Linked DNA regions of Mytilus edulis. The protein of the gene in region 3 binds, or shares a complex with, the protein of the main gene of each other region. Links are inferred from orthologs where the notes say so. Each region holds a gene or a part of one and is shown on either strand. Other genes may lie near its edges.

Evidence for each region.
Region 1: uncharacterized protein (region 3) and dolichol-phosphate mannosyltransferase subunit 1-like share a complex: the UniProt entries of both Homo sapiens proteins name them as parts of the dolichol-phosphate mannose (DPM) synthase complex. The link is inferred for Mytilus edulis from reciprocal best matches to the Homo sapiens genes DPM2 and DPM1.
Region 2: uncharacterized protein (region 3) and phosphatidylinositol N-acetylglucosaminyltransferase subunit P-like share a complex: the UniProt entries of both Homo sapiens proteins name them as parts of the glycosylphosphatidylinositol-N-acetylglucosaminyltransferase (GPI-GnT) complex. The link is inferred for Mytilus edulis from reciprocal best matches to the Homo sapiens genes DPM2 and PIGP.
Region 4: uncharacterized protein (region 3) and phosphatidylinositol N-acetylglucosaminyltransferase subunit A-like share a complex: the UniProt entries of both Homo sapiens proteins name them as parts of the glycosylphosphatidylinositol-N-acetylglucosaminyltransferase (GPI-GnT) complex. The link is inferred for Mytilus edulis from reciprocal best matches to the Homo sapiens genes DPM2 and PIGA.

What each region holds. Positions count from the first base shown.
Region 1 is NC_092348.1:4,569,225-4,576,490, reverse strand, and holds the start of dolichol-phosphate mannosyltransferase subunit 1-like, read left to right. Parts: upstream 1-4,264; 5' UTR 4,265-4,316; coding exon 4,317-4,420; intron 4,421-5,917; coding exon 5,918-6,017; intron 6,018-7,266. Other genes in the region: protein FAN-like, read right to left, coding at 1,130-1,185, 1,854-1,932, 2,337-2,435, 3,974-4,011. UniProt on the Homo sapiens protein: Transfers mannose from GDP-mannose to dolichol monophosphate to form dolichol phosphate mannose (Dol-P-Man) which is the mannosyl donor in pathways leading to N-glycosylation, glycosyl phosphatidylinositol membrane anchoring, and O-mannosylation of proteins; catalytic subunit of the dolichol-phosphate mannose (DPM) synthase complex.
Region 2 is NC_092356.1:67,724,159-67,731,684, reverse strand, and holds the start of phosphatidylinositol N-acetylglucosaminyltransferase subunit P-like, read left to right. Parts: upstream 1-4,524; 5' UTR 4,525-4,543; intron 4,544-7,526. Other genes in the region: nephrocystin-4-like, read right to left, coding at 893-1,051. UniProt on the Homo sapiens protein: Part of the glycosylphosphatidylinositol-N-acetylglucosaminyltransferase (GPI-GnT) complex that catalyzes the transfer of N-acetylglucosamine from UDP-N-acetylglucosamine to phosphatidylinositol and participates in the first step of GPI biosynthesis.
Region 3 is NC_092345.1:2,383,260-2,390,424, reverse strand, and holds uncharacterized protein, read left to right. Parts: upstream 1-4,150; 5' UTR 4,151-4,261; intron 4,262-4,375; exon of another isoform or gene 4,376-4,451; intron 4,452-5,284; 5' UTR 5,285-5,304; coding exon 5,305-5,397; intron 5,398-6,061; coding exon 6,062-6,164; intron 6,165-6,916; coding exon 6,917-6,966; 3' UTR 6,967-7,081; downstream 7,082-7,165. UniProt on the Homo sapiens protein: Regulates the biosynthesis of dolichol phosphate-mannose. Regulatory subunit of the dolichol-phosphate mannose (DPM) synthase complex; essential for the ER localization and stable expression of DPM1.
Region 4 is NC_092356.1:49,226,927-49,234,684, forward strand, and holds the start of phosphatidylinositol N-acetylglucosaminyltransferase subunit A-like, read right to left. Parts: upstream 3,003-7,758; 5' UTR 2,844-3,002; intron 1-2,843. UniProt on the Homo sapiens protein: Catalytic subunit of the glycosylphosphatidylinositol-N-acetylglucosaminyltransferase (GPI-GnT) complex that catalyzes the transfer of N-acetylglucosamine from UDP-N-acetylglucosamine to phosphatidylinositol and participates in the first step of GPI biosynthesis.

The DNA of each region.
Region 1 (7,266 bases), on a different chromosome or scaffold from region 3:
ATAGACAACAATTAAGTTAATATTCCATCAATCTAACTATAGACAACAATTAAGTTAATATTCCATCAATCTAACTATAGACAACAATTAAGTTAATATTCCATCAATCTAGCTATAGACAACAATTAAGTTAATATTCCATCAATCTAATTATAGACAACAATTTAGTTTTTCTACAAACACTAGTATGAACAAATTTACAATAGGTATGGAATGTTTCAATGGCAGATAATCAGTGGAAGATTAGTGTGGATGAATTGTTACAGTAAATCATATATCCTAATATAATAGATTACTTTCGAGTTATGTCCTTTATCGAAAAAATTTGTCAATTATGCACACCTTTATGACGTCATTAACCAGAAAGAGGGGATCACTTATATCCCTGCACTATCAAAGTTCATCAAGTGTCTTGGCGTTTGTCATTTTGCAGGATCAACTAGAAATAAATGTTTGTTCTGTAGGGACTTAATATAATTGCAGTTAATACAAAGTAAAAGAAGAATTCAAGAAGTGAAAAGAAATACCCATTTCTGTTAAGCAAGTGGCATGGTAGATAAAAGTGAGACATGATTGTAATTTAGTTTCTATAATTTTTGTGCTATTTTCACATTTCCTGACTGGTGTGAGAAAAATATTTCTCCTCACTAGTGAAAAATCTGTTCTCGGCAAATGATTAGTCGAAATTTGATTATGACGTCAAAATGTTTTGTTTTCTTCTCAATTTTCCTATTGTGACGTCATGAAAAAAGGGGACCTTGCCTGATGACGTCGCATATAAAGAGCACAATTTTCTGAAAATCTTTGAAAAAGAACGATAAAAAGCATTAGAGAAACAGATTCCGACACTATAACTCGTGTATTACGATATTTCTCCACTCTGGACAGTTAAATTTTATTATTTAAAGGGCTCGGCAAGCCTCGCACTTTAAATAATAAAATTTAACTGTCTCGAGTGGAGAAATATCGTAATACACTTGTTGCAGTGTAAGAATCTATATTTACATAAAAAGGCAGAGTTTGTCTTAATGTTGTTCTCCATCTGCACTCTAAAAAACAACAGGATTAAAAGTTACAAGTTATATTTTATCTAATTTTTTAGTTACAATAGATAAATAAGGTTACTTACTTAGAAAACAACCCACCAGACCACTCATCTACTTCTGTCACATATCTTAATGGAAACTGTAATAGAAACGGATTAGAAAACTATAATGAAAAGGTCCTTACAAATTGAAACATGTCAAGTAATACTTGTCAAATGCAAATGTTAATATCAGTAATTTTGATTTAAAGGTTCAGTGAAAATGCATGTCTGCATCACAGAATTCATTTCTCTGTCTTCTTTTAAGGTTCCTTCTACCCATTAAAGGTAAACTCTTTTTGTATTTGTGTTATTTAAACGTGAATAAATAAAGAAGTAGGGAATGTGTCAATGCAAGTCTAATAGCAAAATGCAATAAACCAAAAAGGACATCAAATGTCCAGTAATAAACAAATGTCCAGTAATAAACAAATGTTCATACTCACATATACAGTTAGTCTTTATGTCATTTGGTCTCTGGTGTAGAACTGTCTAATTGACAATTATATCACATCTTTTTATCTGTATAGCTCTATATTGCCTGTTGACTTCACAAGTTGTTATGTTAAAGTACCTTTCAGTATTAAATGTAAATAGATAGCTCCAACAGTTCCATAATATAGATCAGACAATTGTTTGTACAATTATAATATAAAATAGAACTGTTGGTGACCTTCTGCTGTTGTTTTTTATTTGGTCGGGTTGTTGTCTCTTTGACACATTCCCCATTTCCATTCACAATTTTATTAGTCTGTAACTTAAATAATACCTTCAGAATAGGGTTCTGACTTTCCTTTGGAACAAACACAACTGACTTGGAACATATTTTCAAATGTCCTCTCTGTTTCCTGTAAGAAAAAAGAACAAATAGTGTGCTGTGTTATCACAATAAAAAACAAATTGCAAAATCTATCTAATATTTTGATTAAAATTGACATAAACAAGCAATTTTACTGAATAAAAGATTTTAAAAAAATATGCAGATGAATACAGAATTTTCAGCCAAAATTATTATTTTGTTTGATTTTTATCATAAAGAATCTTTAAAAATCCTTTCAAAATAATACTTTATCAGAGAAATAATGTTTTTGTCCAAGCAAAAAAAAAAAGTACCAATGTGCAACTTACATGTTTTCATGATGTCTTCATTATCTATCATAGAAGTCTCATTCATTTAAATGAGAAAGGTCAGACAAATATTTTTGTAAAATCATTTGAATAATATAATTGGAAACATAAAAACATTGTGTACCTTTTGACAGCTTCTGGTTCTGGAAGACCACAAGGATAATAGAAAACACTGTAGTCTTCAAAATAGATTTCTCCTGGATCTAGTAATAACAGATTAAACCTGGAAAAGAATGGATAACCTTCTAATATACAAGTCATAAAAAAATAGTTAAATAATTAATAACACATGATGACATTTAGCATGTTTAGTTTTAAAATAAAGTTTAATAAGGAGATCAGAAGCACAAACATAGTAAAGTATGCCAATCTCCATCATAGTAAAGTATGCCAATCTTTCTCTCCATCATAGTTGTTCATTGGTTGGAGTTGTTGTAACATAGTTGTTCATTGGTTGGAGTTGTTGTAACATAGTTGTTCATTGGTTGGAGTTGTTGTAACATAGTTGTTCATTGGTTGGAGTTGTTGTAACATAGTTGTTCATTGGTTGGAGTTGTTGTAAGATATTTGTGCTTTTGTGGATACACATTTTTGTTGATTGAGGGAAATTGCATTTTGGGTGGATGTTTGATTTCTTGGTTTTGACAAAGTCTGCATTATTCTCATTTTTATACTTTATGCTATGTTTGATTTTATTCAATTCAGTCGTTCACTAAAAGAAGACATTTGTATGTATTTCCAATAGGAACCTATGTTAAACTAAGTCCCCTGCTGGCAGCCATCCTGGATGATAGATTGGCTACAAAGTAACAACACTTGGTCAGCACCTCATAAGGAACATTCATGCTATGTTTGGTTTCATTCCATTCAGTGGTTCTCTAGAAGAAGTCATTTGTATGCATTTCCCGTAGGGTCCTATGTTAAACTTAGTCCCCTGCTGGCGGCCATCTTGGATGATGGATCGGCTACAAAGTAACAATTAACACTTGGTCAGCACCTCATAAGAAACATTCATGCCATGTTTGGTTTCATTCCAATCAGTGGTTCTCTAGAAGAAGTTCAAAATGTAAAAAGTTAAAGAAGACAACGGACAACGAAGATGGATGACGACAACGGACGCCAAGTGATGAGAAAAGCTCACTTGGCCCTCCGGGCCAGGTGAGGTAAAAATGCAGAAAATTCAAACTCTTCATTCAGTGAAAAACCTTGATAATGTATGTTTCAGTGCACTGTTACCAGTATTACTATTAGCAGGAACATATATACTGATGGGACTTGTCACTTAGATATATGATTCCGGCTAATGCCCTTTACCATCAGGCGTCAAATGGCCATTTTTGGTTACCATTAGCGTCAAATTGGTTAAAATTTTGCCATGATTCGTCAAATTATGCTTATCATGATTCGTCAGAGGTCTCAAATAGTTATCATTATTGACCATGTTGACATTTTTAGAAAAAAATTGAAAGTGTTTCGTCTAAATCAGTCGATTCTTTTGTACATTTTTATTGTCATGCCCCAAAAATTACCGTTAATGTCATTTGGCAAGAATTAATTATTATTTCAGTTTTTTCGTCATGAAAATACCCCCATCACCTCCCTCAGCTATAAGCCACAAAAATCTTCATAGAAATAACACAAGTCATAAGACATAAGATATCACATAACCCAACAAAGAAAAACTAAGTCATTTGTAAGTGAATGACAGTGTATAAATTCTTATGAAACTACATGATATATACATATAAAAAAATCATAAACCTTTCTTTTGAAGCAGTGTCATTTTCTAAAAAAGACATTATTCAAAGAATTCATAAATGTGAAATTCAGTCTGTGTTCATATCCATTTGGTCTGTTTCCGGGTTGATTAGAGTTTTATTCTACTTCCGGTTTGAAGGTTAAATTTGGGGACAAGTCATTTTATCAATAAAACAAATATTTTTTAAATGATCTAACATTTGAATTCTTGTTAATTTTCTTGTACCATTCAATTTTATCAGATTTTAAACAAAAGTTTAACTTTTTTTATATTTTGGTTCGATATATCCACCTAACAGTAATTATATCGTTCTTGAGAAATAGCCTGTCCCTTAAAAGTGCCAACATGGCTGAGAAGAAAAACAAATATTCTGTTCTCCTTCCAACTTACAACGAAAAGGACAATCTACCTCTAATAGTGTGGCTTATTGTGAAATATTTTACAGAGAGGTAACAAATAATGATGTCAAGAAATGAATAAATCCATTTTACATAAATTTTTGTAGTAAAAAAATACATTTTTATGAATATTTTTTACTATACCTGTATGTTTCCTTGTAGATGTCAAGCATTTATGCATTATGAAGAAACTTTTTAGTAGGCAAAAAAAAAAGACTAGAAAATTGTTGCCTAAAAAGGGATTTATTAAAATTTATTGAAAGATTTAAAAAAATACTTTCTCATAAGTTTTTTATGATCTACATTTACTTGCAAGAAGTGATTGATTGCAATAGATTTTCATTAAACCTTTAAATTTTTTATTCACTTATACACAATTGTTTGTATTTTATTACCATGTATTGTAAATTGTTTATCCATTCGGTCATTACCATTTATTGTAAATGTGTTTGCGTCAATAAAATATTGTCTATTGTCTACAGAGGGGGGTTAGGAGGGGTCCTGATCCCGAAATCCCGGGCTTAAAAACACGATATCCAGAAATCCCGAGCTAAAAAACACGAAATCCCGAGGTCCCGAAATTCGAAAAATAGAATTCCCGGATCCAGAAAGGGTCAATCCTGAAATCCCAAGCTTAAAAACACCCGATCCCGGAGTCCCGATAAAGGTCCTATCCCCCCTCTCTACAACCATGACATTATTGCATCAGAAAACACAATCTTCAAGTCATTGGGGCAGATCAATGTTAAAAGTGAAATTGGAAAGAGCATATAGGATTTAGAATAGTTCTATATATACCTTGAAAGCACACTAAATTCTCATTTGAATAATGAAATATTTGCCACTGGATGTTAACTACATCATATACATGTAGCAACCAACAATCAATAATTTGAATATTCACTTTAGCCTTCAACAATATTAAAAACTGGTACTTAAAGATGTAGTAAAATGTACTGCACTTGTCAGTTTCTGAACCACATACAAGTATATCCAATATACATGATATATAATTGTTTTCTACAAACATCTATAAGGGTTTACTTTACAAATTGTGACTTGAATGGAGAGATGTCTCATTGGCTCTCATACCAAATCTTCTTATATCTGTATTTATATAAAAAGATTGAATTTCTGGACTATAGATAAGAAGAAACAAATGTAGCTGCTTTACAAACATGACAAATCTTTTGAAAATAAATATCATCAGTTGAATAATTTGTACATATACCTGTTCAAATGGTAATAATGCTTTTGACTAATACAAGTATAACTTGAAGCACCAAAACTAATTTACAGTACAAACAGCAAATACCAACTCTCACAAAAGTTAACTGACATACAATGTAAAAGACAAACAACATTAAATTAGAGATACCAGAAGCCAAATTTAGTACATGCACAGATCATGCAGAATGATATGTGGTTAACCCATTCTTAACTGCACTGCCACACTTCTCTATCTTTTATATCTATAATGTTTATATATGCTACTATCCAACTTCTCAAAGTACAAATGTAGCACATCAAATTTTTTTTTGATTGCAGTAAATATGATTTTGAAATCATTGTAATTGATGATGGCAGTCCTGATGGAACATTAGAAGTGGCAAAACAACTAGAGAAAATATATGGCAAAGACAAAATTGTAAGTTTTACTTAGAGGTGGCAAAACAACTAGAGAAATATATGGCAAAGACAAAATTGTAAGTTTTACTTAGAGGTGGCAAAACAACTAGAGAAAATATATGGCAAAGACAGAATTGTAAGTTTGACTTAGAGGTGTCAAAACAACTAGAGAAAATAAATGGGAAAGACATAATTGTAAGTTATCCTTAGAGATGGCCAAACAACTAGAGAAAATATATGGCAAAGACAAAATTGTAAGTTATCGTTAGAGTTGGCAAAGACAAAATTGTAAGTTATCCTTAGAGGTGGCAAAACAACTAGAGAAAATATATGGCAAAGACAAAATTGTAAGTTATCCTTAGAGGTGGCAAAACAACTAGAGAAAATATATGGCAAAGACAAAATTGTAAGTTATCCTTAGAGGTGGCAAAACAACTAGAGAAAATATATGGCAAAGACAAAATTGTAAGTTATCCTTAGAGGTGGCAAAACAACTAGAGAAAATATATGGCAAAGACAAAATTGTAAGTTATCATTAGAGGTGGCAAAACAACTAGAGAAAATATATGGCAAAGACAAAATTGTAAGTTTTACTTAGAGGTGGCAAAACAACTAGAGAAAATATATGGCAAAGACAAAATTGTAAGTTTTACTTAGAGGTGGCAAAACAACTAGAGAAAATATATGGCAAAGACAAAATTGTAAGTTTTACTTAGAGGTGGCAAAACAACTAGAGAAAATATATGGCAAAGACAAAATTGTAAGTTTTACTTAGAGGTGGCAAAACAACTAGAGAAAATATATGGCAAAGACAAAATTGTAAGTTTTACTTAGAGTTGGCAAAACAACTAGAGAAAATATATGGAAAAGACATAATTGTAAGTTATCCTTAGAGATGGCCAAACAACTAGAGAAAATATATGGCAAAGACAAAATTGTAAGTTATCCTTAGAGTTGGCAAAGACAAAATTGTAAGTTATCCTTAGAGGTGGCAAAACAACTAGAGAAAATATATGGCAAAGACAAAATTGTAAGTTATCCTTAGAGGTGGCAAAACAACTAGAGAAAATATATGGAAAAGACAAAATTGTAAGTTTTACTTAGAGGTGGCAAAACAACTAGAGAAAATATATGGCAAAGACAAAATTGTAAGTTTTACTTAGAGGTGGCAAAACAACTAGAGAAAATATATGGCAAAGACAAAATTGTAAGTTTTACTTAGAGGTGGCAAAACAACTAGAGAAAATATATGGCAAAGACAAAATTGT
Region 2 (7,526 bases), on a different chromosome or scaffold from region 3:
GACAATATCCTAATGGGTAAAGGTTAGACAATATCCTTATGGGTAAAGGTTAGACAATATCCTTATGGGTAAAGGTTAGACAATATCCTTATGGGTAAAGGTTAGACAATATCCTAATGGGTAAATGTATGACAAAACACTAATGAATAAATAGAGGACTAGTTTATGAGTAACTTATGGATATTTTTAACAGGACAATAATTAATCATTTATATCCCTGCAAAAAGAAGCAAAAACTTCAGTGAAAACATTAGTAAACTCTGAATAGGATAATGTGTCTTCATGGAAGTTATGTGACATAAATTCATTAGTTTATAACTGGAAATTTTTCCATTTATCATTATCTCTATTTTCTCTACTTGTTCATTGCAAATATATGAATTATGATTGAGAAGTCACAACCATGAAGGATCTACACAAAACATTAAATGCTATATTATTGTATGGTCAACTTTGTCTGGGAGAGTTGTAACATCTAAGTACAATAACAAGGCTCATAACTTAAAATTACATAATCATATTTGTATACTTATATCCATATGTACTCAAAATTATCATAACATATATATGTTAACAGACATGTACATAATAATTTAGGGTGATAGCTGACCTAACCATTTTAAACAGCTTTTATAACACACACAATTTAAAAGAAAAAGTCAATGAATAAATATCAAAAAGAAAATGTGGTATGATTGTGCGCGCCAATGAGACAACTCTCCACAAGAGACCAAAATGACTCAGAAATTAACAACTAAGCCTATACCGCATAGTCAGCTATAAAAGGCCCCGAAATGACAATGTAAAACAATTCAAACGAGAAAACAAACGGACTAATTTAGTTTCTATCTTATAATAAACACCCTTGCAAAAGTTTGTAAATTTAGCTTACCTTAACTTGAAAAGGGTGAGTTAATCCCTGTATTTGTTTAAATGATATAACAATTGGTATATTATCACTGTCTGCATGTTTATCTACCGTGGGGTCATGTTGTTTCCACAGAAGGTTATGTCGCTGTGGTAAACTTCTATGTAAAGTCAAGTATTTCATATTCAAGTGAATTCAATGGAATTAATATCCGTCTCCAGAATCAGTAATCCGATGCATATGTACATGTAAGTCCTTTAATATGGTGCCTATATCTGAGACTTATAATATTGGTCCCACCCAGTCTATAGCTAAATGTTAACAAATTTGGAAACATCTACTTAAAACACTCATATCTCGTAACAGTTGAAAATATGTAAATTCCTATGCAATGTTAAATCAAAATCCTCTATAATGTATTTTCCTGCACAAACAGACACATTATCAGCCAGTTAGAATATCATTCATGTCTACTGAATTTCCATACATCTTTTACCTTTCTAATATCATATTTATCAAGCTTATAAGATATATACTGTAAAATCTGTCAAGTTACAGAAATCAATAATTCAGAAAGTCACTTTCACTTGAAGTACAATTTTCAATAACTAAACATCCGATATAACCACAAACTTGTATCATATTAGGTATCCAATAAAATCTCTTAGTTATTAAAAATTTTAAACTTCTTGTCCTTTCACCTCATAAATTTTATGATAACATGTACCTTCAGACTATTACAACATGAACGTTTACTTTCCTAGTGAATGGCCATATATTACAGCTCTGGATAATATCCAAAACCAAAGATGTCGGGTTTATTATATTTCATTTTTTACTTCAAGTGAATGTATTCCATCAATATAGTCTGAATAATTCAGTGCATGTATCCTTATATTTTTTTTTATCTAGTATTTGAAGTTTTCAAATTACAGCATTATTTTTTTTTTCTTTCAATAATTGATTTTCTTTGGTTTTTTTTCAAATCAGATGTTTCTACACAAAATCATCACAATAGTACAATTAGTTTTGTAATGATAGTATAGTCACTTTGGAATTAAATTTCAAAAGGTAAATATAGCTTTTTTACAAGCTTTTATATCTATTCATTCACCGGCAAAATCTTTTAACCAATTGATATTGATGGTGAAAAGTAAAAAAAAATATTCGCAGGTAAACTTTCTTATTAAATATCATTTAAAACATATTAATTATTTATAGTTGATCAATTAACCATAACTATTTAGATCAAAATATTTTTAAATTCAAATTGACATTTAAAAAAAAATTTAATGCTGATTCAATATTGTAAATATGTACTTCAATGAAAAACATTAACAACTTCAAATGCAATTATCTATAAATTCACAAAAAATGACACAAATTATTCCTCTTGATATATGTATATATGCTCCTCAAATTATTAAAGTTAGTCTCTTCAAAAAAAATAATTTGATGATGTTAAAATGATGAAAATTTATCACAATAAGCTCAATCCCACATGTAAACTATATATGTACTGCTAAATCACAATAAAGAATTCAATAACAGGTGATAGATCTATAAATAGTATAAACTTTCACGTAATGACAAAGTCGAAGACAAATCATCTCATTGTTACAGCACATCAACATGCATTGATCATCTAACTATCGATTTTCATTTCATAGACACAGAGGTGTTTATGATTGAGGTTCATTAAAAAAACATGACGATAAATTTTCCATCTACATTTGTAACGGTGTCTTCCCGATTGTCCCTATTTTTGAAATTACAGGTAAAAAGGTTATGAAATTTTGTGGGACAATCGGGAATATGTTTGTGGGACAATTGGGAAGTTTAGATGTGGGACAATTGGGAACTGTTTTTATAATGATTTATTTGTTTTTATAGCGTGTTGCAGTTAATCAAAGGTTACTTATCGATGTAGCTTATAAAATATGAACAAAATAAGAACAAATAATAATATTTATATATTTTATTTTGCTCATAGTAGGTACAATTGAAGTATCATATAATATAATATGAAGTCTTTTAAAAAATTTAAAAAAATTTAGTCTAAGATGCATATATATTTTTTTTAATTATTTTTTATTGGCTTTGAACTAGCAGTCAGTACTGCGAGTGCTCTTAGATCTGTACTTAGTGTCTTTGTTGTGGTGATGTCCCAAGCCAGGAGCCTGTAAGTCAGTGGTTGTCGTTTGTTGCCGTGTAACATATTTGTTTTTCGTTCATTCTTTTGCCATTAGTTTTCTCGTTTTACATTAGTCATTTTGGGGCCTTTTGAAGCTATGTGATATGGGATTTGCTCGTTGTTGAAGGCCGTATGGTGACCTATAGTTGTTAATTTCTGTGTCATTTGGTCTCTTTGGGAGAGTTGTCTCATTGACAATCATACCGCATCTTCTTATTTCTTATGGAAGTCTGGCTCTTCTTTATAATTGGTGAAGAGTCTTTTTGACTGCAAAAACAATGGGAAAATTGGAAAAACAACCTTTAATAGTGATTCTTGGAAAGGCTGATCTGGAAAAATTCTAGACAGCAGCAAATTTAGAGAAAATAGATGGGGGTACAAGAAATGATTTTACCAGAAGCATGTGCATCCCATATAAAAAAAATTCTTTCAAATTTCTCAAATGTGTATTTTTTCAATCAATTATAACAAAGAAGTTGAAATAATAAGATTTGTGTTCTAAAAATAGCAAAAATAAGTGCACCACCATATGATTTTCGTAACCAATTAGTTTTCTAGAGTCATATATAAACCCAAAAAATCAGGTTCAGAAAAAAAGTTTAATTCAAGACCTTAAAAGATCTATTTCATAAATCAGAAATATTATATTTTTTTTAATCAAAAGTGTATCAATCTAATGATTTAAAAATCATATTTTTTATACTTTTATAAAATTAATATTAAATGTGCAATAATTAATTCTTGTTTATTTAGCAAAACAAACAACAGTTACCTTGTTTATCTATGAACATTTTACTACATAAAATAATGTGGGACAATCAGAACTCTAAAATTTTAAAAAGTGGGACAATAGGGAATAAACCTTTGTAACATCACATGTAAAGTACAAATAAATCAGGTATAACACACAGTAATATTATTTTCCAGTTCTTAACACATGTAAATGTAGGATTGAAAAAATTGTATACTTTATAATTACATGCAAGTTAAAGATTATTCAAACCTACATGTAGGATTTTTTAATTACAATAAATTGATGATATTTATTAACCTTTACTTTAAATGTCATGACTTTTAAGTTCTATTTAAAGATTTTTAAACGATCCAAGTCTCCCGATAATACCATGGTAAACAGTCAATATTTATCTGCTGATCATTTAGTCAGGATAATTTAGAGTCCCTCCTGTTTTTAACCGTAATCAATCTGTAAGCTATTTTTAAAACTCATCATAAAATTAGAATGAAATTTTGAAAGAGACCTTTAAATAACCACAAAAATTATTTATTAATGACAAGAATGCATGATAAGACTATTTTGGTCCCATGAGTTTGTAAATCAAAACGTATAATTAATCAATCTATGGAATAACACATTGCTTCAGTTGTTTACAAGGTTTATAGTGTGTTGATTAACAGTGTATATATATAGAATTTTATACATGTCAGTACATTTATCTATATTTGTGTGAGAAAAAGTTAGGGTAGGTACATGTAGATAAGAATTTATCTCTTTTTATTTTATGGTGGTTTTTTTTACATTGAGTCTTTGGGGGGAAAAAGATCTGTTTTTAACAGAGCTTAATGCATTCTGTAATGGAAAATGACAAAAATATCATTACAGTACATAAGACAGCTAATCATCTCAAGACAATACAACATTTCTTTATCATGTTTATACATAATTTAAAAGCAGTGTAAGGGAGGTAATTGTCAATGTTGTTTGAATAGTCCATTTGTCAATTACCGATTTTGTTCTGTAATTACACACTTTTTAAACAAATTACTTTCCTTTGTCAATAGTAGACTGGTTCTATACCGCAAAATTGGCTTTTGCCAATGCAAACCATGATGAATTGAAAGTGATGCAAACCATGATGAATTGAAAGTGATGTATAGGTGGTTTAACTAATATTTCATGGAAAATAATTTCTGATGTCAAAAGTATTTAGCCTAACAACAAAATTAATGATAAATCTAATTAACAGATTTTAAAAACTCACATTATGCACCGGTTAATTTGCTCTCTCTGTTAGCTCTCCATTGTAAATAAAATATACTGTCCCTCATAAGGGAGAAAGCTTAAAAAGGGATCTCTAATTACAGGGTCAATTACAGGAAGTGGTAAATAGACTATTACCTTCTGTTAATTGCTTTAAAATTATGTTTTGAACTTAAATAATTGTCCATTAACCAGGACACCCTTGTTCCCCCCTTTTTTTCCTTAATTCCTAAATGGTTTGAGCCATAACCCTGCAAAGCCAATTCTTACCATACCTTTATGGTATGGAAACTTGTGGTATAATTTCAGAGCGATCCATACACCATTCCACAAGTTATTGTCTGGAAAGTAGAAAAATGCCCTTTTTGACCCCTAATTACTAAACTGTTAGGACCATAACCCCCAAATCGTTACCAACCTTTCTTTTGTGGTCATAAACATTGTGTTTAAATTTCATCTTTCTATTTACTAATACATGTACTATAAACATGATCAATAAAAGTAAAATCTCAAAAAAACTGAACCCTGAGGAAAATTCAAAAAGGAAAGTCTGTAATCAAATTGGCAAAATCAAATGAGAAAACACATCAAATGATCCGTATTCCATTGAAAGAAATTGGGCATAGTTAGTGTTGTTTCAGCAAGCACGTGCGTTATCGCATTATTGATTGTGTCTAAATATTCTTATATAAACTGGATTTAACTTATTTTATAAAATTTGGTAAGTATGCAATTTTTGTTTAAGTTTTTAATGATCTATTGTATGTCGTCGTGTATATGTATTACACAAGTTAAGTCATTCATTTTGGCGTGCACAATTCACAATTTGTCTACACTAGACAATTTATTTTACATAATTGTGAAATCAATTGTACTATAGATACTAATATTATGAACAAGTTATATCTTACCAAATAGTGCTTCCCTAAACTATTAGGTAAACTAACATGAGGGATACTAAGTTACAAGCTGTAAACTTAGTAAATTGTTACAGCAAATATGCAATAAAGATATTATTACCTTTAAAAAAAAAAGAAAACAAATCAAAGGAATAGACAACAACTGTCATATTCCTGACGTGGTACAGGCATTTTTAAATGTAGAAAATGGTGGATTAAAAGTTATTGACCTGAAACCAAATGTATTCAGACGATGACAACGACGATGTGATACCAATATATAACGCAAATTCTTTTGGCTGTCTTACAAAACTTTACATGTTTAACTTAATAAACATGACTTGTAAAAGTACATGTTTTACCCTTGACTGTAACAAAACAAAGCACTTTCTGTTGCAGAAAGGGGCAACATTTAAGTACAATTACACATGTAGGTATAACATGTATAATGAGTATATTATCAAACATGCATTTACATGTAAATGTATATCTTTTCAATACTTGTACAGAGTTCTCTATGAGTGGTGGTCCTAGGGATTTTACCACCACATTTTTTTGGGAAGGACTAACACAATTTTGGCAATATGCATTTAGAAATGATAGTGAGGAAGGACCACCAGGCAAAAAAAGATTTCAAGAAATATGCTTGGATAAATGAGGGTCAAATAAAAAAACGTCATGGTACATTGTACATGTATGTTAATTGCAAGAGTTTTGAATGTTTTACAGTAAAAGTCAATATACGTGTAAAATTGTTCCATTTGGCTAAGTTCTTACTCAATTGAGCAGAGGGATTCATTGTTACTCATTTATAGGAATCTGCCATTTTTTTTACACATATAACTACATTAATACAGTACTACCTGTGACTTTATCTTATTAATGGTGGCCATAAAAAATATGTTCACCATGGTGGCCCTATATGTTCATCATCTTACCCCCTGTTGATTTTTTAATACACAAGGTATTACTCAAAAACTAGTCAAGGATAAAGGGAAATCTTGAATGCATTGAAGTGTTAAAATTATATAACTTACAGGTCAGGTGTCTCAGGTAAAATATACATGTATGTGTTTGTCAAATTTAATAACTGTGATTATGACAAGAAATTCAAAAATAAAATGAAACAATAAAACTAGTTGAACAAACAGCTTAATTAAAAAATAATTGTCTCCTGACTATTAGTTTTGATATTATACCTTTTAAATAATTTTTGATCAATTTAAGTTATTTTTTATATTAAGTTTATTTTTTGGTAGTGAAGAATAAATGAATCTCATTTTCAAATATACTGCAAACATTTACAATGCCTGTCTTTTTCTATTGACTAGATGTTTCTCAAATTAATTTTCTAAAATCAAAATGGTTTATTATTGTAGATAGACTGATCTTAACATATGATTAAGATTGTCTTTAGGACTTATGCTAAATAAAATTTAGGCAATTCATTATTTCTTTATTGAATAAAATATTTATAAGTATTAGAAATATTCAGTACAGCAAAATTTGATAATATTTTTATTGTCATATGATATTTTAAACATGATCCATGTTTTAGAGGTTAAG
Region 3 (7,165 bases):
TGTTCAATGTGTTAAGGTCACAGCAACACCTAACATATATGGTTACTAGATGCTTTACCAAATCATGATTGTTCTGATGACTTCCAGGAAATTCCTCAAATTTTGAATCACATCGAAATTTAGTTCAAGTGGTCCATGTCAAACATACGGTCGTAACTGTCCTCAAACTATATGGTTGACAGGCGCTTTTAAGCAGAATTGTTCCGAGAGACTTTCAGGTAATTAAAATTTGGAATCGCATCCTTTTAAAATTCAATTGTTTCATTACAAAGTTTAAGTCACTACAGTTATCAAATTTTAATTGTCCTAGGTCAAGGTATAGGTCACTAAAGATACCAAAATACACATGGTTGATTTGTCTTCTTCTTCGAATCGCATCCTTTTAATGATCAATTGTTCCATGTAAACATGCACTTTCTGTTCTTCTTTGGCTTCTTGTCAATAGTTTTACAACGCAGAAACAGTTAAAAACTTATACAGAGAAGAGCAAAAACAACAGAGATGTATATTACGACCTAATGTATAAATTGTACTTGGTGATCCTGTTGATCCTGTATAAAAAAAAATAATAAGGGTTCCGCGGAACCCAGTGTCTCGCCTACGTTATCTGTAAATCGCAGGTTCAACAAAAACGAGGGAAAAAATCAATAAAAATATTCCTCTTGATACTATCGTTTGAATGTAAGAAGCTTCTGTCCAAGTTTGGTAAAAATCCAGGATAGTTTATGAATCAAATAAATGTTTAAAAAATTTAATTCCAGAATGTATGTAATGTTAACTGGAAGAAAAACTAAGTCCATTTGTTAGTAAAATACAGATACACAGGTACAAAATTTTAACAAAATTTCCTTCTAGATACGAACAAGCCTCTGTCCAAGTTTAGTACAAACAAGAATATGTCCATAGTACATGGATGTTCCACTATCATTTTCTATGTTTAGTGGACCGTGAAATTGGAGTAAAAACTCTACTCTGGCATTAAAATTAGAAAGATCATATCATGGAAACATGTATACTAAGTTTCAAGTTGATTGGACTTTAACTTCATTAAAAACTTTAACCAAAAACTTTAACCTGAAACTTGCGCCATCATTTTCTGTGTTCAATGGACCGTGAAATTGAGATAAAATCTCTAATTTGGCATTAACATTAGAAAGATCATATTATAGGGAACATGTATACTAAGTTTGAAGTTGATTGGAATTCAACTTCATCAAAAACTACCTCGACCAAAAACTTTAACCTGAAGCGGGACAGACGGAAGAACGGACAGATGAACGGACTTAAGTTATTTGATTATTAATTGATAAGAAAGAGAAGGTGCATTCAAAACTCACAAGTCGTAAAAAAACTGACAACGTCGTGGTACAAAAAACACAGAAAAAAACAATGAAAAGAATGAACAATTTTACAATGAAGAGAACTATAAAGATTGAACTACACGAACCCATACAAAAACCGGGAGTTAACTCAGCCCCGCCCCCCCCCTCCCAAAATAAAAGGGTAAAACAACACATCAAAGGTACAATTTAAGAATTGAATGCTCTTTTTTGTAAATTAATTGCGGTGTAAAAGCGTTGACCGAAGTACATTTTGTATGAAGCGCTTCCGCGCTTCATACTAAAAATGTGCGCACGGTCAACGCTTTTACAACCCTATAAAGTTACAAAAAAAGCATTCAATACTTATAATTACATTTTTACCTATAGGATCATGAAAACACGCCTTTTATCAAGTTTTTATTTCATTTACCTGTGCACTTTATTGTGGGACCTCGTGTCATCATGATTGAAAAGTTGCATTGTGTAATGCAATTGATTAAGGAATATCACGAGATTGCTAGTTAGCCAATCAGAATAACGTATTATAATGAAACATACATCTAATGTAATTATGACTATATCATTATAATACGTTCGTTCGTCTACAACTTCACCAGACACTCGAATACAAAAAAGTTCTAAAAAGCCAAATAAAGAACGAAGACTGAGGACCAAAAATTCCGAAAGGTTTTGCAAAATACGTGTCAACCATCTGAGTATTTCTAGCGTAGAAGATTCTTAGTATTTTTAACTATTCTAGTTTGATCAACAATTAATCTATGAATATTACCATATCAATGATATTTGAATATTAGGCAGTGCTTTCGCCAAATGTGACACCATTTTACTACCAAAAGACAAGCATCAACATAAAATTGAAAACTAAAGAAAAGACTAGGCAACACCAGCCCTACCATGCAAAATCCAGCCAAAGTAACCCTAAACGTACAAAATGTGGGTATCTTAAACATTTGACACAATCTGTATGCTAGTATATTCCATGCTCAAGCCCTATTTCAATTCATCTCGATTTTGATATGGCAACACATTATAATGTTCCAGAATTCAGCGATGATATGCATGAATCCAATTTTCCCTTTATATGCGCACAACATTAATGTGGGTCCACACTTGAGAGATTATTTTTCATACAATCAAGTTAATTTGATTATCAAGAGATCCTTAGCGATGATTAAACAGACTCATCCATTCATTTTAAAACTGCTCAGTAGTATATGTATTTTAATTTTAATGGCAATTTCTTTGTTCTTTTTGTGTTTTGTGGGCTTTTTTTGTAGCTTTGTGTAACTTCGGTAAATTAAGACATGGACCACAAAATGCATATATGATGAACTAGGATGCACCGGCAGGGTAATCAGATTCCGTTCCACATGTGACATCCATCGTGTTACGCCTATAAGATCATATAACATACAAGAAAGGCTAGGGATACCAAAGGCACATTCACAAGCCAAAAATAAAATGATAACGCAGAACAGAAAATGACAAACAGACAAACAACAGTACACAGTATACAAAACCCAATATAGAGAAGCAAAGACTGCATGAGCAACACGAACCCCACCAAAAAAGGGGGTGATCTCAGGTGATCCGGAAAGGTACACATGCTTCACTGCGGCACCCGATAACAGGTATAACTCAGACGTTCGAATTCGAGGAAAAGGGGACAGGAGTGTAATCACAACATAGGAACACATTGTTGTCATCTGAGAAACAAATATTCCATAATGGTCAACCCACTTGTGATTGCGTCCGTAAAATTTACAAACTGAGACGAATTCAACTTCACCACTTGGAACTCTTCAATATATAAATAGCTTCCTTGTGAGCAGCAATCGTCTATCGTGGCAGATTCAGAAATTTTCAAAATGGAGGCCACTGACCTCATACGAGATTACCCGATCCAGTGATTACACTACATAATTAACAAAATATTTCCGTTTCCCCCTCAATTTGCCTCTTATAGTGGGAGTTATATACTTCGTAAGCTGGAAAGTCACACAGAAATGGAAAGTTCACAATTGGAAAGCTGATATCTCGTTTGTCGTTAAGTTTGGGTTTCAACCGATAATCAATATCAATTTCTGGATGTTAGTCGACATAAGATGCAGACTTAACTGTATCCTTCATCTTTAGATCGATTGGACATTGGAATGCTTTAAAACCTAAATATTTTAATATTTGTTTTGAATCTTCACACATTTTCAAAATATACACGAGCTGTTGTATAAAAAAAGTAAAAAAAGCAAAAATACCGAACTCCGGTAAATTCAAAACAGAAAATCCTTACCTCTATCGTATCTGTTGAACCCTTTTTTCTCAAGTTCGATATGATATTGATGCGTTCAACATAGTTCTTCTTCTTCTTCTTTAAGTTTCCAGTAGTTATTAATTTTTGAATTACTTTACTTTTAGTTAGAGATCATTTAGCCTACTATCTTTCTAAGAATTTCAGATACAGATCCCGATCGAAAAACACGTCCTCCAAACGTAATTAATTAATATGTTTTGTCAATCAAGAAATCAAGCATCAAGATAAAATCAGTTTTAGAGATTTTTTTAACTGACTGCATGACTTGTATCTACGCAATATGTTGATAAATCCTAGTAGCTAGTTATAATTTTCTGGAAAAAACACTTAGCAGTTGATGACCTGCCCAAGCATGTAAAATTTACACGTTCGTTTGTAAAAATAACAGAAAGATTGTAACCTCAGTCTGGGACTATAGTCCCAGCCTCAGTGGACGTGAAACAAATACCAATATAAAAAGGGATATTTTCCGGAAATTTACCTACTTTGACTTTATATTTTATACTATGAATTTAACTTCCTGGAAAAAATGTAAATAATGTTGAAACTTTGTTTTGAAGGTAATCTTAGAAACGTATTAAATACGTATCAAAATTGACCAGTCAAGGTATAGTAGGATGGATATATAAAACGTTTATCCTACAACGCATGCTTTATCCATCATACATCTATTTGTAAACAAAGGCCCTACTAAGGTCAACATCTAGTACGAGTGTACATTTTACTCTTTATGTATATATATAATATTAGCTCAGCATGTATGAGCCAGTTGTGGTTGGAACTGACAAATGTAAATGGTATGGCAAAATATGAGGCCATAAATATATCATACATGTATATATTATATTCAATCATGTAGGTCTTCATAGCAAGTTTGCCACTCTAGTATCATTGCTATTGGAAATTGTCCTGTATCACCAAGATTGTAATTCTATTCAAAGACGTTTTTTGTCAGGCTTGGTTATTGACATATGCAACACACCTGTGACCTCCTTTTATGAATAAAAGTTGACAAATAAATTTTTGTGTTCAACACTTGATCCAATTCACCTGGCTTCAGGTACAAGTCTCTTCAATTTTATGTTGAACTTTACAGACATTTGAAAGTTATGGCAATGACTTTAAAATAAACATGCAAAATTAAACCCTAAAGGTACCCAATATATTGAAAAGGTGGAACCAAATATTATAAAGATCAGAGTATATTTTGTGTTGGTTTATTTTGTTTACACCAGCTGACAAATTAAAAAGACTAAAAAATGTGTACATGTATGGCAATAAAACAAACTATATCCCTTTTGTATGAAATTAACCATAACCAATACATTTAAAATTCAAGAAACATCCAAGGAATGCAACATTACATGTTTTCCTCTCATGCCATTACAATGACTATAAACAGATAAACTGGTAAATTTAACTTGGAACACTCCTTCTTCTTCTTCCTTGCTAAGGACTGGATTCTTTAAAAGAATGTTATAAGTCCACTAGACGGAGAATGAGTCATTAGTGCATCAATGTGAAGCATTACAGAACTCTCAACTCTTTACATGTGCCAATTAAAAAACAAGAAGACATACCAGGTACACTTTATAATGACTCTAACTCAATCATTACTTTTTTTTTTCAGATTGTATACCAAGATGAAAGATGACAAGAACATTTGAATTATTGGCTGGTTGGACACTGATCACAGTGACCTCTATAGCTTACATCTATTACACAGTTTGGGTTATTGTTCTGGTAAGATATACTGTAAACTCTTATAATATTGAGTTTTTTTTTTGTGATTAATTTGACTGGCAATACAGTGTTATTAATCTAGCATTTTTGTTCATTCTTTTAAAAAAAAAACACAACAAGAAATGCACACAACAATTTCTGAATTTTCATTATGGAAAATTTCTCAAAATTTAACGCTTCTAACATATTGATGAAAATGACAATTCTATGATATTCACACCAATGTTTTGCTAATAGTTTAAAAAATTGTAAAAGTAAGAAAAGTTGTAAGTGAATTAACATTTTTGCTAAATAAAAAGGATTAAAGTCAGTACTTTGAGGAGTTTCTCTGTCAAACTATGTATCTCATTATGTGGACTTATAAGTGAGTCTAATGTACTTTCATTTAAAGCAAAACAAGAAGTCCAAACACACATTTTTAGGTTACTGGACTTAGAAATCAATTGATTCAAAACATGGTGAAAGTGGCATATATGCTTATACAACATAACAAATACCAGTAACTATAAAAAGACCTCCAAGAAAATTGAACATTAATTTAGTAGGTGGAGCACAAAAGTAAACACATTTATTATATATTTTTTTTACCTGAATATTAAATTGAAATGGCTATTTATAGCTATGATAAAACACATATTGTTTATGCAATCATTGTTATTTTCAGCCCTTTGTTGACAAAGATCAAATCTTCCACCAAGTCTTTCCAGACCACAAATATGCATTAGGTATTCCATTGCTGATGGGTGTCACTGGATTAGCTGTTATAGGTAAATATATTTTTATTTGTTTGAAATCTAATGTCATATTGGTAAAAACATTTTTTTTTTTTTTTTTTGCCATATTTTAAACAAGATGTTATTGTTCTGTTTGATTTTGAAGTTATTGGCACAGTTCTAGATTATTTCATAACTTTTTAATTTATATTCAGCCTAAAACAAAGCTAATTATTCTCTATAAATGAATTATATAACCATCATCAAGACATGCATTTTTTTGAAACCTTAAAAGGTTTAACTTTACATGCTTTAAGTAAAGAAAGGAATGTGTGCTGTTCATACGAGACAATTAGTACTTTGTTATTGTTTCCCCTCAGAATCCATCAAATTTTATATCATATGAATAGAACTGTAAATTCAGAAATAATTTCGATGTTTTTATTGTCAGATGGGAAAAATGATGGAAATGAGAAATAAAATGTTCAAATATTTCTCGCTGCATTGAAAACCCCATTAGTGGCCTTCAGCTGTTGTCTGCTCTTTGATTGGGTTGTTTTCTCTTTGAAACGTTCCCCATTTTCATTCTCAATTTTATTAATAACAAAATACGGATTCATGTTGGTGGTGATAGCCATTCAATTCCTGAGTGTAACAATTCACCAAAACAATATGCATTGTGTAGTATGTTTCTTCAAAGCACTATTAACAACTGGGATTAGCCCATTTTGCCTTTTTCAATAATGTGTTAAATAAACAACTGTAAGAAGAATCTGGTTAATCATTACTTATGTTTGTTATTGTAGGTCTATTTGTATTACTGACTTGCAGAGGACAGAGAGTTAAATCAAACTGACAGATTGGTTATTTACAGTCGATCTAACAGAATGTACAACAGATATTCATTGAAACATTAACGTCTTATTATAGTGCAATATTCTTTTATTTTTCCAATAAAATATTGACATGAACATGTTCACTATATAGTATTAAAGTGTTGAACACAAATATATATGACATTTAGAGTTTGAGCAATATTAAAATAATACACAGGT
Region 4 (7,758 bases), on a different chromosome or scaffold from region 3:
AGGCAAGAAAACAATTTTGTTAAATTGACGAAATTACAAAAACGTCTATGGATAAACAAACTGCAAATTTAATGGTGGTCAATTATGAGGTTTAATTAACAGATTGATGACCCGTCCAATGTCAATAAGCGGATTATCTGTAATCACAACTTATTGTAAATGTTAAGTAGGGTCGTTATCTTGTCATAAATATGAAGGCAGGTACCTACAATAATGGTATTTGTCAAAAAATTAATACAATAAAGGCACAGACTTGCATCTTAAAGAGGGCACAGGGTGTCAGAAAGGGGCACAGGGCAGCGATCCCGAAAGGACGGGCAAGGCGCCCAGTAAACAACAAACAGAAACACTAATTTTTAAATATAAAAAAAGAAGATGTGGTATGATTGCCAATGAGGCAACTGTCAACAAGAGACCAAAATGACACAGATATAAACAACTATAGGTCACTGTACGGCCTTCAACAATGAGCAAAGCCCATACCGCATAGTCAGCTATAAAAGGCCCAAAATTCATGAAATTGACAATGTAAATTCAAATGAGAGAACTAACGACCTTATTTATATAAAAATATGTAACACATAAACAATCGACAACCACTGAATTACACGCTCCTGACTTGGGACAGGCAACTTCATAAATAATGTAGCAGGGTTAAACATGTAAGCTGTATCCCAAACCTCCCCTAACCTGAGGCAGTGGTATAACAGTACATGTACAACATAAGAACGAACTATAAAAATCAGTTGAAAAAGGCTCAACTCATCAGATGGATAAAAATACAAGTGGACGTGGCTGGGTACTTGTACATCCTAACAACAAAAAGACACTAGAAACAGATCTGAGAGTACTCACATTTATCTGACAGCTAGTTCGAAGCCACTTACAACTAATCAAAAAAATCATGCATCTAAAACTAAACAATCAATCCGTAGTTCCGTACACATCCAACATCCAATGGATTTAGTGTAAAGACATCATAAACAGTCAGAGAAAAAACATGACCTTGTGTAAACCCATGTTATTCTTTGTTTAATCCTTATATTTTTATGAGGATAATCAGTGTGATGTAAATTGTTTTTCCCTAATTCCTGTCGACACTATTATGCAGAATTGTCTTAAAATGAAAGTTCCTTGACAAGATACATTGAAGTTTAAACAGATATTATGGCATTCAGGGCCGTAACTAGGGTTCGAATTCAGGGGAGGCAGGGGTTTGGGCCACCGATTGAAGCCCCTTAGAGAGAGGGGGTTGGGGGAGCAGCCCCCGCCGATTTTTTTCTCGAGGTAAAATGGCTAAAAATGACCCATTTTCCTTCGATTTACTTACTTTAATGAAAAAAAAGTATTGCTTGAACCTGGAAGCAATTTTTATGCAAAAACAAACTGAGATTGCTGTTCAGGGTAAGCCAAGGCTCCGTCTTGAAGGCCGTAATTATTATGAAGACCTATAATTATTAACATTAAATACATTGTGACCGCGGATTTTGTTCTCAATATGGCTAAAAATCACCCGTTTTCCTTCGATTTCCTTACTTTAAGAAACATCAGTATTGCTGGATCCTTGAAGCAATTTTTTATACAAACAATTATTATCTGTATTTAAAGATATTTTTGTTAGAAATCAAACTGGTAAGTTAAAAAAAACCATATAAAGCAAGATCATAGAAAGCAAGATATTTTTTTGTCAAGGACCTTGAATTTTAATATTGTTGAAAGTTGAACAGACATGTATACAACTACAACCAGGGACTTTCTAAACTAGTATATACTTAGTTTAGAAAGTCTCTGCTTCAACAAATAGGAGTGTTTAACTACTAAGGCATTGACCATAATGTTCTCGTACAATCGGCCGGGAGACGTTAAAAAAATGACACAACAGCTGATTCAGCCGGTAACGAATTTCCAATATCATAAAAGATTCACAATACAAAGGGAACTTCCTCTGCTTAATGGAGCCCCCAAATAAATGTGAATAGTTCAGTTTTATTCAAAATTGTCGAAAGCAAAGTTTCATATGTGTTCTCGTACGAATACTGCATAACAGACGGACACACGAAAAATAAAATACTGAAATGGTTCACTTTCGGTAAAAAATCCGAAAAATGACAGATATATCATGTATCATGATAACTCTGTTAAAACTGTAAACTTGTGTTGTTTATGATATAAATTCAAGTTCTTCGTATACATATTGTCAATATTTCATTTTATTACTTCAAAAAAAAAATGTTGGTGTCGAAAATTCAGGGGAGGCAACTGCCTCCCCTGCCTCATAGGCAGTTACGGCCCTGGCATTGTTTACAATAAAGTTTCCATTGGAACTTCTGTCATGTGTCACAAAAATTATATACCTTAACACCTTTGATAAAAATATTCTTAAAAATATGCAACAAAAAAAGGAGTCTTCAATAATTTAACTTGCAAAACATAATATTACATGTTATTAAAATCGTGGGTGCCAAAATAACTACCTTGACTTTAGGGTAGAATTAAGTAGGTCTCGATTTGACTAGGTGCAGAAATGACTATACAAGATGCTGATTTAACTAGGTGCCAGAGTGAATGAATTCTTAAAATACAATGTATGAACATTTGTAAAGAATGCACAGCCACAGGACAACAAAAGTCAACATGATTCATGAAAGAATGTTTGTTGTTTTGCTCTGTGCCAGCTTGATTTGTTTGAGATTGTTTAAGGCAGTAGTTCTTGGTGCCGAAATTGAGTACCATATTGTAACTGGATAGCATAATGTTAAAGAATATAAAATGGTTTTCCATAGTTTAAAAATCTGTGCAGGGGTTCACACTTTACTTAAAATGATGTTAGCATTTGACCATACAAATGCATATAAAAGCTCATTTGGAAATTGCAGATGAGATTGTGCTCATATATTGAATAATATAACCCTTCAGAGTTTCATGGTTTCTATGTATCCTATATTTCCATCCAAGAACAAAAATATCAGAAACTTATCGAAACCGGAAATTTACACATCATTAAAATATCCGGATCGAGGACGGAGTATTCATCCGAATTCCGACTTTTGTCTGACCTATGTATTTCTTTGATTCCTTTAATCGTCTAGTTGCTAGCTTGGGATGCTATATGTCTGTTTACAGCTACAAAATAACAACCAACTGCCAAATCAAATCTTCATCATATATCATGTTAATACCTATTTTTTTTTTAAATATGCTGAGTTTTTTTACTTTAATTTTCGATTTGTTGACCTCATTTGAGTCGGACATCTATGACAAGCCGTTTTATTACTTTATTCTAACTTCATGATATCTTATATAATATATAAGATATCTCATATAATATATAAGATCTTTTATCAGATATCTTATATAAATTAATCTAGTTGTTATACTGAGAAACTTTAATATATACATTATACATTTTGACATTATATATATATATCATTTAGTTTATATAAGATAACTTATATACTTTACATGAGAGTTTTCTAATACCACATCTTCTTATTTATTTTATAATTATAAGATACATTTTAAAGTTTAAAAGATATTATATACGATATCTACAAAGTATAAGATATTTTACATGCATATATTGTTTATATATATTAAGATATCTTATACACCTTATATGTTATTTATCAGATATCTTATATATCGTCTATAAGATATTTTATAAAGAATATTATATGAGATATCTTATAAATTGTATAAGATATTTAATAAACTATATAAGATGTCGTATAAACCATATTTGATTTTCACATGATGCACACATGATGTTTCACTAAACTGATATAGTTTTGTGCTAGCATATCAGTAACTGTTAGTGTGTCCTTTGTTAATTTATTTTGTCATATTTAGATTTTACTTAATTTCTTCTGTTACCTATTCTGTTTAACATAGACAGACTCGGACGTCTTTAAACTGAGTTTTAGTGAGAGTATTGCCTTGTTTTCTTTTTTTTTATTCAATACTTGCTATAGAAGAATAGAGGGAGGGTCGAGATCTTACAAAACATGCTGCCACATGTGTGCGTCTGTAACTAGTCCAGAACCTCTAGCCTTTGTCAGTCTTGGGTTTTTTTTTCTCCATTTGTATACATGTCGCTTCCATTTCGCTAAACTAGTATACAAGTTCTTTTTTAATGGTCAACAATGGAAGTAATATTACTTCAATAGGTCAACTAAACCTTCATAGCTCCATGTGGGATATTCTCGTCACCTCTGTTGAAAAGTCATTGATACATGGCCTTGGATTGTTGTATGCTCTATGGTACAGTTGTTGTCTTTTTGTCATATTTTTATATTTCTATTTATTTGCATATGCATAAAGAATCTACGTTTATAAAGTAAAGATTTTGTAAATTAGGAATCCTTGATAAAGAAAAAATCAGAAAAAAATATTTATTTTCAAATCAAATCAAATAAGTTCTATAATTTCAAAGTCGGTATGTTAAGTAACAATACAATATAAGCTCTACGCGAGCGTGTTGACCGAAATAAAAATGTACATAGTAAACGAAAAACATAGATATTATTTATTTTCAAATCAAATCAAATAAGTTCTATAATTTCAAAGTCGGTATGTTAAGTAACAATACAATATAAGCTCTACGCGAGCGTTTTGACCGAAATACAAATGTACATAGTAAACGAAAGACATAGATATTATTTATTTTCAAATCAAATCAAATAAGTTATATAATTTCAAAGTCGGTATGTTAAGTAACAATACAATATAAGCTCTACGCGAGCGTTTTAATTGACCGAAATACAAATGTACATAGTAAACGAAAGACATAGATATTATAAACAATGCGAGCAAACTAAACTGACTATATAACTAAGAAATTTGATCTTCCTCTACATACACGGTAAATATTTAAATAGCACTGAATACGGTTACGTTAAATGTTTAAATGTTTAATATTGCATATATGAAAACCAGTGATCCGTAACAAAATACTACCGGGTTTGTGTGATCATCGAATTACCATAAAATAATGAATTCATAATAATGAAGACAGTTTGGATTGTTAGACTTCTAATCTTTGCTATTCTTATTCATGGTAAGTTTTTGGTTTCGAACCGAGTATTTAAAAGATTCGAACATGGCTGAAACCTTTTTGGTTATTGGCAAAACATAACTACGCCATCTCAATATGGAAATTAATTTACCACTGCCTATCCATCCGTCCGTCTGTTTAATCGTCCGTTCTTCCATCCGGATATAGATCAATATTCAATATTACTTCTATGGTTCGACTTTATGTATTTACTATTCTCAAAATTCTAGGTATTTGGAATTGGTAATTTTTGTACTTAAAATTCGAAAGGGGGATGTTTTAGATATTCACAAACAACGCTATATAATTGAACACATGGTTTGTACTACTAAAGTTAAATGTTATAATGCACTATACATAAGATTTTTAGTATTGTCAAAAATGTAATCAATACCGGGTAGTTGACAACTGGAAATTGACATTTGAACTTGGTAAATATAAAAACTGGAAAATTGTAACCCTAAGACTGATTTCAGAACTGACATCCAGCTGCAAGTGTAGGCATTCGGAATAAAAATAAAAGATAGGTCAGCATACATAGTGTTAAGTTTATAATTTTTTTATGATCAGACGGGGGCATTATTTGTGTCTTGCAGAAAGCCGTATTAATTTCAAGTCGTACATCAACATCACTGGTTGTCAAATCTAAAGTATGTGGAACAGTATACTCATGCATATGACATAGCAGAGGGGTCATTGTCCATATATAGTTTTATTTTTTTTTTAAATTTTCAATCTTAATAATATAAGTATATCGTCGATTTTATTGAAATGAACATATTATGGAAAATCAAAGGATATGGCGTATCCATCCATATCACAAAATCAGTTAATGCACAACGAAAAAACATGTCTTCAAAATAAATCGGGCGACAGTAATCATTTTAAAATATAACATAATTGATCTACACATATAAATGGTTCATGACTACACAATTAAAATGTATTTGAAGATAAGAATATAAAAATCATATAACGTGTATAAATGTATTGTTTGAATTGAATAGACTCGAACGAGGAAGTTTTCACATTTGATCGATCACCAATAAACGTCTCTGGGTAGTTATGTTGGGTTATTATGTGTGGATTTTAAATGCATTTAATTTGTTCTTTATTTATGTACATATTGGTATTCGATGACTAATTAAATCTATGAAAAGTGAAATATTTCATTCCAAGAAAATCTTCGAAATTTCAGACATTTGCCACTTTTAAGCTCACCTGGTCCAAAGGGCCAAGTGAGCTTTTCTCATCACTTTGCGTCCGGCGTCGGCGTCGTCGTCGTCGTCGTCGTCGTCCGACGTCGTCTGTTAACTTTAACAAAAACCTCTGAAACTACTGGGTCAAATTTAACCAAACTTGGCCCCAATTGTAATTGGGGTATATAATTGGGGTATCTAGTTTAGAAAATGTGTCCGTTTAACCGGCCAGCCAACCAAGATGGCCACCATGGCTAAAAACAGAACATAGGGGTAAAATGTAGATTTTGGCTTATAACTCTGAAACCAAAGCAGTTAGAGCAAGTCTGACATGGGGTGAAATTGTTTATCTAGTAAAGATCTATCTGCTCTGAAATTTTCAGATAAATCGGACAACCGGTTGTTGGGTTGCCAATTTGTAATTTTAAGGAAATTTTGCCGTTTTTCGTTATTATCTTGAATATTATTATTGATAGAGATAAAATATAAACTGTAAACAGCAATAATGTTCAGCAAAGTAAGATATACAAATAAGTCAACATGACCAAAATGGTCAGTTGACCCCTTAAGGAGTTGCCCTTTATAGTCAATTTTACCAATTCTCTTCTCCTCTGAAACTACTAAAACAAATATAACTAAACTTGTCCATAATTACAGAAGAGTATCTAGTTTGAAAAATGTGCCCGATGACCCTGCCTCTGAACCATGATGGCAGACATGGCTAAACATAGTACATAGGGTAAAATGCAGTTTTTGGTTTATATCTCTGAAACTGAAGCATTTAGAGCAAATCTGACTGGTGGCAAAAATGTTCATCAGATTTAAATATGTCTGCCCTGAAATTTTCAGACAACCAGTTGTTAGGTTGCTGCCCTTGAGTTAGTAATTTTATGGAAATTTTGCAGTATTTTTCTATTATCTAAGATATAATTATATAGTATCTAATAATATCTTATACTATAAATTATGATTTTAACCTTATTTTACATGATTTCCAAAGCATAAGAAAAAAACAGGTGAGCGACACAGGCTCTTTAGAGCCTCTAGTTGTGGTATTTAAGAATTCAGATGATTTCTACATAGTGATGGTACATTATTATGAGCTAAAATTGTCTCCTTCCTACTATTTTATCGTTTTATTTTACATTGTAAATGTATAAAACTTTGACTGTTGATACTGAAATACAGATAGTGTATAATTAAAATCAACTCTTCAAAAACATCACATCGGCTAAAATAATGATTTCTGGATTTCAATCTGTATGTCAATTTGAAATTATGAAAACCAAAATTCCGTAGTGCTATATAGATTATCGAATCATGTTTGAAATGAAATATAATATTGATTATATACTTGCAGTTATTCAAATGAAAATATTTTACTATCATATCCTTACTTTGAATTCATTGTAAGTACGCGTACATCTATAAGCGAGTTAGCCCGCTTGGTTCTAGTATACACCATGCTATTATGTATAATTCAAAGTAATACAGATTTCAAAAATT